2 linked regions of the Nothobranchius furzeri genome follow. The protein of the gene in region 2 purifies or fractionates together with the protein of the main gene of each other region. This does not show direct contact. Links are inferred from orthologs where the notes say so. Each region holds a gene or a part of one and is shown on either strand. Other genes may lie near its edges.

What was found. Proteins that work in one complex are often made in the same cells at the same time.
Region 1: the proteins of pop1 (region 2) and rpp38 purify together in Homo sapiens (affinity purification with mass spectrometry; 3 studies listed by BioGRID and IntAct, with this or other methods). This does not show direct contact. The link is inferred for Nothobranchius furzeri from reciprocal best matches to the Homo sapiens genes POP1 and RPP38.

The regions. Positions count from the first base shown.
Region 1 is NC_091745.1:79,260,973-79,264,417, forward strand, and holds rpp38 (ribonuclease P protein subunit p38), read right to left. Parts: upstream 2,138-3,445; 5' UTR 1,946-2,137; intron 1,671-1,945; exon of another isoform or gene 1,535-1,670; intron 1,444-1,534; 5' UTR 1,442-1,443; coding exon 629-1,441; 3' UTR 603-628; downstream 1-602. Other genes in the region: acbd7 (acyl-CoA-binding domain-containing protein 7), read left to right, coding at 2,355-2,366, 2,945-3,062, 3,146-3,205, 3,323-3,396. UniProt on the Homo sapiens protein: Component of ribonuclease P, a ribonucleoprotein complex that generates mature tRNA molecules by cleaving their 5'-ends. Also a component of the MRP ribonuclease complex, which cleaves pre-rRNA sequences.
Region 2 is NC_091745.1:50,269,176-50,273,530, forward strand, and holds the start of pop1 (ribonucleases P/MRP protein subunit POP1), read right to left. Parts: upstream 2,860-4,355; 5' UTR 2,728-2,859; intron 2,565-2,727; 5' UTR 2,562-2,564; coding exon 2,444-2,561; intron 1,822-2,443; coding exon 1,711-1,821; intron 1,617-1,710; coding exon 1,441-1,616; intron 1,353-1,440; coding exon 1,092-1,352; intron 1,021-1,091; coding exon 933-1,020; intron 829-932; coding exon 650-828; intron 1-649. Other genes in the region: 2-iminobutanoate/2-iminopropanoate deaminase, read left to right, coding at 3,043-3,173. UniProt on the Homo sapiens protein: Component of ribonuclease P, a ribonucleoprotein complex that generates mature tRNA molecules by cleaving their 5'-ends. Also a component of the MRP ribonuclease complex, which cleaves pre-rRNA sequences.

The sequences.
Region 1 (3,445 bases), about 29 Mb from region 2:
TTAAATCCATCCCAGTCAGGAACACTCGTTGGATCAAATGCAGCAGCTCACTGTGGACTAAATTATGTAAAAAATGACTTCTGTGGAAAAGAAGCAGTTGTTTGGTATCACACCAAAAATAAAAAAAAACACAATTTGGTCCTCTAATGGATCCAAATAAGGAAATAATGACGTATTTTTTATTTTATCAATAGAAAAACCATTTTCACACATTTCTTTTGCTGTACGTGGATCATTAAAGAAGCGGTTTCGGTATTTTTGCTCTTCTGCAACAGAAATCATGGGAGTGGTTTCTTTATCACAACTAAAATCAAATCTAACCTCTGAAAGACAAACAGCAAAGAGTTTTTACTCGAGCTTGTTTTAGTATCTTTACTATTATTATTATTATCTGAGATGGATCTCAGCGGAATACTGAACCACATAAAAGGACACCTCAGCGTTCGGATGACAACGATCAGCTGGAAACCAGAATACCGGACAACAGGGATTGTTTTTAACCCTTTAGGCGTCCGATGTTGGAGGAACATAAACCCATGTCCACGCCGAGGCTAGGCAGCAGGTGTGTCACAATCTGACATCATCTGGAAAAACACCAGCACTTCCTAATGCTACCATCAAGCCGTTTTCATTTCACAGGCTTTTTCTTGGGCTTTTGTTTGCGTCTCTTTGCAGGATTAGCAATAATTCTCTTTACTTTGAGAGGCTGTAGAGAACACGGGGAGGGGGGACTCTCTGTGTGCTTCTCAGATTCACTCTCCAGTTTCCGTTTCTGGCCTCTTGGGCCATCTTCCTGACCGGCAGGATGTTCAGGAGTCCCTCTGGATGATGCATTCTGTAGCCAGGCAACATCCAGCGGAGGCACCTTTGGTTTGATGGCATCAATGACATCTGTAAACACCTGGTTGTCTTCAGAAGAACTCCGTCTGAATCCTAGAGCGAGGACGCTCTTCAGCCCCAAAGGTCCCGACACGGTCTCGCTCAGCCGAGGCACCTGACAGGCCGGCGCGCCTCGGGTCACACTCAGGGCTATCAGGTGGTTCATCATGTGCTGAGGCTTGGCGGACTTACAGACCAGCAGCAGCTGGAGCTCGTTCCTCTCCAGAGCCTTGGTGACCTCGTTGATGCCGATGGCCAGCTGTCGTCTGGCCGCCACATCTGTCCAGCCGTTCCTGATGGGATCCCCCACCTGACTCACCTGGGGAGCAGGCTCTGCTTTGGAAAGGGAGCCCCCCTTTTCCCTCTTCTTCCGTGGCCGCAGCACTTTGACCTCCTTTTTCATCAGACCCGTGGAGATCAGTTTGTCCTTCGTGGTTTTCAGGATGAAATGCGCATGACCCTGAGGAAGCGAGCTCCAGCCTACACTCAGTGGAGACGTGAAGGAGGTCTTGGCTGGAACGTGCTTTCTGGCTTTCTTTGCGGACTTTTCTTTGGTTGCCATGTCTGAAACCAGAACAAGAGAAACTGGGATAAACAAACCAAACGAATTAGGAACTTTCTGGTAACTTCAGGATAAGTTATCACACTTATTTACAAATGTATGGTCCCTGAAGTGTGTGTTGGCGTGCTTTCCTTCAGCAGGCATCACTTAGGAGTAAACTGGATCTTCTGGCTAGCTCCAGTCCAACCTACCACGGCAGCCTTCTTTTTAAATTAAAGTGTCCAGCTTCTAAATAAAAATCCGTAATCCTTTCTCTGTGTCCTTAATGCGTCATAGTCCAAACTCTTTTCAAAATCAAACACCAACTTCGCACAGAATTCCAAAAACGAGGCGCAACCGGAACCGGAAGTTGTGGATGAAACGTTTCAGCGGCAGACACCAGAATCCCATAGATATGCATATAAACACATCTATGAAGAAACCCTCCCAAAACAGCCAAATCAGTTCCGTCTTAAACACAAATAAACTCAACAATAATGGGGTTGAAACCCAAAATGAACTTACCTGTAATAATGTAGACGCAGATTTAGAAGTAGCGTACACGTTTGAGACCAACACCACGGGGAAAGTAGGAGGCCGCCATCTTGGTTTGAATGCACAAACTTTATTTAAAAATGATAATCTGCTCCCTCTAGCACTGAAGGAACCGCCTCTATTGTTACAAAGCGCTTTATGAAGCAAAAGTTTCCCTATAATACATACTACACGTTTCTCTGCGCGAATGCGTTTGTGCGCACGCGCGTGTCCTGCAACCAATCAGCGCTCAGATCTGCAGCTCATCTCTCCGTCCTCCCCCTCCTCTGCAGCCCTCAGCTGATAAATATTGCTTTGGTCAGCTGTGGTGCAATCACAACTGCTCTGGACCTTCCGGAACCGACACCCCAAGCTGCACTCCGTGTCTGCTTCCACCGAGATGGCCCTCGAGGTAAACTCCTGACATTTCTGCTTTTATTTAATTAGTTTAGCTCATTTGGGTCTTCATGACATCATCTCTAGCAGATGTTTGGCATCATCCATCTTTGGGAAAAAAATAACAGGTTCACTCGGTTCCTCCTGTGGTTTTTGGCCCTGATGCTGAATGAGCATAAGATTTAAATTCTAAATAACTAACAAGATTGTGATTGTTGACAGAGACTCAGTTTTTAATGATAAATCTGATAATAATAATAAGGATAAAAAATAATAAATTATGCATTTTTTGGAAGGTGGGGTTATTCATCCTAAAGAGGGCAATAATGATCAGCTCTGCAATGTCCCAGATTCTTTGTAAAGCTGATTATTCATGCCGGCACAAAAGCACCAGAGTCTTGAATGAAAGTTCTTTGTTTACGTCCAGCTTGAACAAGTTTGTTTCCCAGGCATTGCTCTGGGCTAGACTACTGTGTGTGGAGCGGTTTTCTCCTTATTGGTGCCTCTTTTCTTTTTTGTTTGGGATGGATTAATCTGTCTAACCTGACAGGTGTTAACAAGAACGTTAATTCTGAACATTTATTTCTGTTGCAGGTAGAGTTTAAGAAGGTAGCGGACGATGTGAAGAAGGTGAAAACGCAGCCTACAAATGAGGAGCTGCTGACTCTGTACGGTCTCTATAAACAGGTCCTAGTCGGAGACGTTAACACTGGTGAGCCGATGCACACAAATGGATTGATTTCCATTTGATGCTTTAAATTCTGACCATTTTATCGTATTCTGTGTGGTCCGTAGAAAGACCAACGGTAGACCCAACAGGAAAAGCCAAGTGGGATGCCTGGCAATCCAGAAAAGGTAACAGTGAATGAATGCATTTCAACTTTATTTCAATTTTGCATTGATTGTGACCACTCAAACAGAAACGGATTCATTCTGTCTTGTTTCTAACTGGAGTCTTTTTCATCGACTCAGGAATGTCCAAGGATGATGCCATGGCAACGTACATCACAGAAGCTAATGGAATTATCAGCAAATATGGGATGTGAGGTTTTTACGGAACAAAGAGGCTGGAGGTGAAGCTGCTGTTTGTCTTGT
Region 2 (4,355 bases):
GAAATCACTTATTGTACAGCTTTAAGAATCCTAATAAATAAACCCTGAGATTTTATGCTCTGTTTAATCCAGATATTACTGCTGCAGAGCCGACTTAGGCTACAGCATCTGCGCCAGAGAGGCCAAACGAGGACCCAAAAATGGCCAAAAGTCTAGTTTATATCAACAAAAAGGAACTATGCAGTAAAACTCACAACTAAATCAGATCACGAGTGGTAGCACACAAACTAAACTACAGAGACAGCAAGGTGCATGCAGCAGAAGAAACCATCGGGTCGTTTAAGGCTGGTATCGCTCATAGACACACAGCTAGTTGTTAGACCTTTTAGGGCAACGAAGAGTTCACTAGCCTGGCTTCAACGTGATTCTACAAGAAATAAAACAGACATCAACAGGAAAACCAATCAGAGTGTTCCCAGTGGTTGTTACAGTAAGAAGTAGCAGGGACCTACACACATGCTTTTACAGGAAGAAAAAGCTTCTGCAAACCAGAAGAGTGGTTCTGATGGTGGAAGAGAGAGGAGCATACAAGGCAGGTGTTTCCACAAATTAAAGCTGGTGTAGCAGCAGCCCTACACATCATGGAGAAATAACCAGGCTGTACTGTGACTCACAAATACAACCTTTGTCTCCTAAAAACCCACCGTACCTGCTTAAGGGTGGGATGAGCCCAGATCCACAGCTGTCTCCCCCTGATCCCCGGTGTTTTGGGTCTCCAGAGTACGGTGACGGGACCCAGGGGCTGGCAGGGGTACTGTCCTATCCTGTAGATGGTAACACTGACCTGTCTGCGCCCTGACAGACACAAGGCTGCAGCAAACGTAGGACCTGGAAACAGACTCCAGCTTGTGACTCCACAACAAAAATCACCACTGAAAGCTGAGACCACAGGTCCACAGGTGGTTAGAGAAAACCCAGAAGGATGTGCTTACCCGCCTCCTTGCTGGTCATCTGTGACAGAGCAGCCAACAGCTCGTCTTCTTCACCCTTCAGCTCGATGCAGCAATAGTAAGACAGGTCCTGGTAGACAGATTCACACGGCTCGATACCTTCATAAACTAACTACAGAAACAAAAAAAGACAACAGCTACCTGCAGGAGGCAGTGGCTGCTCATGGCTCTGTAGCACGACCGATAGCATTTATACGTGGGTCTGTCCCCGAGGCAGTAGCCCCACTTTTTAACCATGTGGAAGCGCTTGGCGTGCCAAATGTGCGTCTCCAGCCAAATGTTCTTCCTCTGGCGTCGGTTGAAGTCCAGCAGCAGGTTCCCGTGCCGTCGGCGAGCTTTTCGGCTTTTGCTTTTAGCCGGTTCTTTCTTCTTCTTTGAGCCAGCCTGGAGGCTTTTCTCCCGCTGTGGTGGGTGGAACAGAAGGGGTAGTCTAGTCTAGGAAGGCAGCTTTTAAAGGAAAAACTAACAGAAAACAGGAAATGTCAGAAACCATTCTGTCAGCCACGTCTCTCAGCCTGCGGGGCAGACGCTTTGTGTTGTGGCTCATGGCCCGTCGCCTCATGTGTTTAGGCAGAGCCTGAAAAACATGGCTGCTGCACGCCGTCTGGCTGACGGCTCTCAGCATGGCCTTCACCTCGGCGGCTCTGGCTCTGGCAAAAGCTCCACCTTGACAAAGAGAAAGATGGACGAAATGCATTAGTTTTAGCAGCAGCACGGTACAGTGGGAGCTTAGAAAGAGTATGTCGGGCTCTGCTTTCACCAGTGATGTACTTGGGCATCTCCTTAGAATAACCACCACCATATCTCTGATGTCCTCGAACCCATCCAGTGTCTTCAGGTTTCTTCCTCTCCTTAGAGGATGGATGTCCACCTTTTGAGAATTTCCAGAACTTTCAGAGTCAGCACATCCAGCAAGTTAGAACAAAGCTTAACTTTTCCCATATGATTTTTATTCTTGTGAAGCGCCTCATGACTTTTGTCTTGAGAGGAGCTGGATTAAAGATGGTTTCTTCTCCTGCCTAAACGAGTACACACGTGTCTGATTCTTGTAGTTTCTCACCACCAGGGTGAGCTTAGGGCACATCAGCTGGGTGTGGGCACCATCAGAGCAAGCAACTACGCATCACACCACTGGCTCATCCCTTGAGTTCAGGAGCATTTGTAATGTCTGGGCGATTCATTGGGGAGGTGTAAGTGATACAGTTGACTTAGCTAAACAGAACTAAGTGTCTCAGTAAATAACAACAAATACAAGAAAATGCTCTGGGGAAAAGGTCACACTGAGAAGTTTAGACTGGCAGCTTGTGAAGCATGTGGTGATGACAGCTCTGAACCAAAGTAACACCTCTACCCCCTTATCCATCTGGAGATGCTTTAGATGACCTGGGACGGATATTTAACGTGAGTTGCACAGATGTGGTATAAAGATGAACACCCGTGGCCCCTTCTCTGAGCCACCATGCTAGCTGCTGCCCTGCACACAGACCGGTTACCTGAACCATGTCCTCTGTTCTGGGAGCCGCCCTCCCCGTTCACCCCAGAGGGATACTGAACACTGGCAGGCTGATTCCTCATCTTCTTCTCTCGCATTTTGGCTTTAGCTGCGGACATTTTCTGTAGAAAGAAGAAGGAAACGCTGTTTTAGCACCACAGCTGGAACCACAAACACATACAAGACGGTGACTGTTATGCTAGCAACAAACCCTCGTACAAAGTTGTAACACCGAACCTTAAATAAAACACGTCTAAGCTACAAGTACATATAAATTATTCATACCAGTAGTGCCTCGCTGTTTTCCAATAAGATTAGCAACACGTTTCTTGGACGCTCTCTTCTCTCTGTTAGCTAGCTACCATGTGAGTTTGCTTCATGCGAGTCCGTCTCACAGGCTCATGGGAAATGTAGTGTACAAACGCAATGAGCGTTCGTCTTCAGACCGAGCTTCAGACCTAGATTTACTCCATACATTTCAATTATGTATATACACGACTAAAAACCAGAGTATGCGGTGTTTGTGTTGCAACTATCATTAATACCCATATTAACATGGTAAAATAAAAACTACATGATTGTTTGTGCGTGTGTATCAGAATGTTTACGGTAACGGAAGTCTGTTGGTCTCGTGTCGTCAGCTGTGAGTTTAGTCTGACCAGAGAAATGTCTGCTGTGATCAGGAGAATCATCAGCACCGCTAAAGCTCCTGCTGCCATCGGCCCATACAGGTGAGAGGAGTCTGATGGACCAGCCGTGGACCTGGGCTGAGGTGGGACAGGATGAGTCATGTCTTCTAGGGGACAGTCAGTGGAGTGTCTAGGCTTTAGAAAGGGTGGCCCAGGTGGGGCACCTGTTAATGCATGGGTGGCACCCAAAGTTCTGTTTCGTTCCCCCCTGACTGCCAGTGGCAGTAAACAGAGTGGATGTATCTCCTCGCGCTCTGCGCAGGTCGAGTACTAATGTAAACAAAGTCACGCACGTGACACGTAGCGCACCTGGTCGCGAGTCTATAAATTACGCGCCGATAGCTACGTTCGGGTCTCTTTGATCTTCTCGCTGTTGGCCTGGCGTGCTTCGCTGGTCAATCGCTCCGTAAGTCCGTGATTCGGATCTTATCGGTCTTGAGAGGTGAGTACTGTTTTTACTTGGCGTCTTCCTGCCCGGGACCGTGTGGTCGGAGCGCTCGAAGGAGCCCTCTGGGGCGGTGGATTGACGCTGTTATTTATCTGCTAATTGTTACCGAGTGCGGGTGGTGCGGCCGGCCGGCGCCGTTCGGACCGCCGCTGCCGGCTCGGATAGGGCTCGCTGGCGGTCGCAGGATTTCCCCTGTGGAAAGGGGAGGTGAGTGCGGCCGGCGAGCGCTACAGGTAAGTGGGGCTGGACGTTCTGACAGTGGTGGTGGCACGCTCAGATTACCTAGCCGACACACACGCACGTGTGTTGTTTTACAACGCTACCGGTGAGTGGGGCTGGACGTTCTGACCGTGGTGGTGGCACGCTCAGATTACCTAGCCAACACACGCACGTGTGTTGTTTTACAACGCTACCGGTGAGTGGGGCTGGACGTTCTGACCGTGGTGGTGGCACGCTCAGATTACCTAGCCGACACACACGCACGTGTGTTGTTTTACAACTCCAGGACTGAATCGCGTTCTTCAGTTTTCCTCGAAGTCCTCGCTCAGTTCCTGTGGAGTCACTGGCGTCTCCCACACCGGTAAGGATGTTGGAGTGTAAGTCATGCGGGGCTCCCCTCCAGGTGGAGGACAGCCACGACTTGTGTCCTAAGTGCCTGGGCGTCGGTCACCTCAGAGAGGCGCTGACTGACCTGTGCATGAACTGCAGCATTTTGCCGCTGGCGGTGCGGGAGGACAGGCTATGTCAAGTAGAGTGCTTCCTGTTTGAGTCAGACC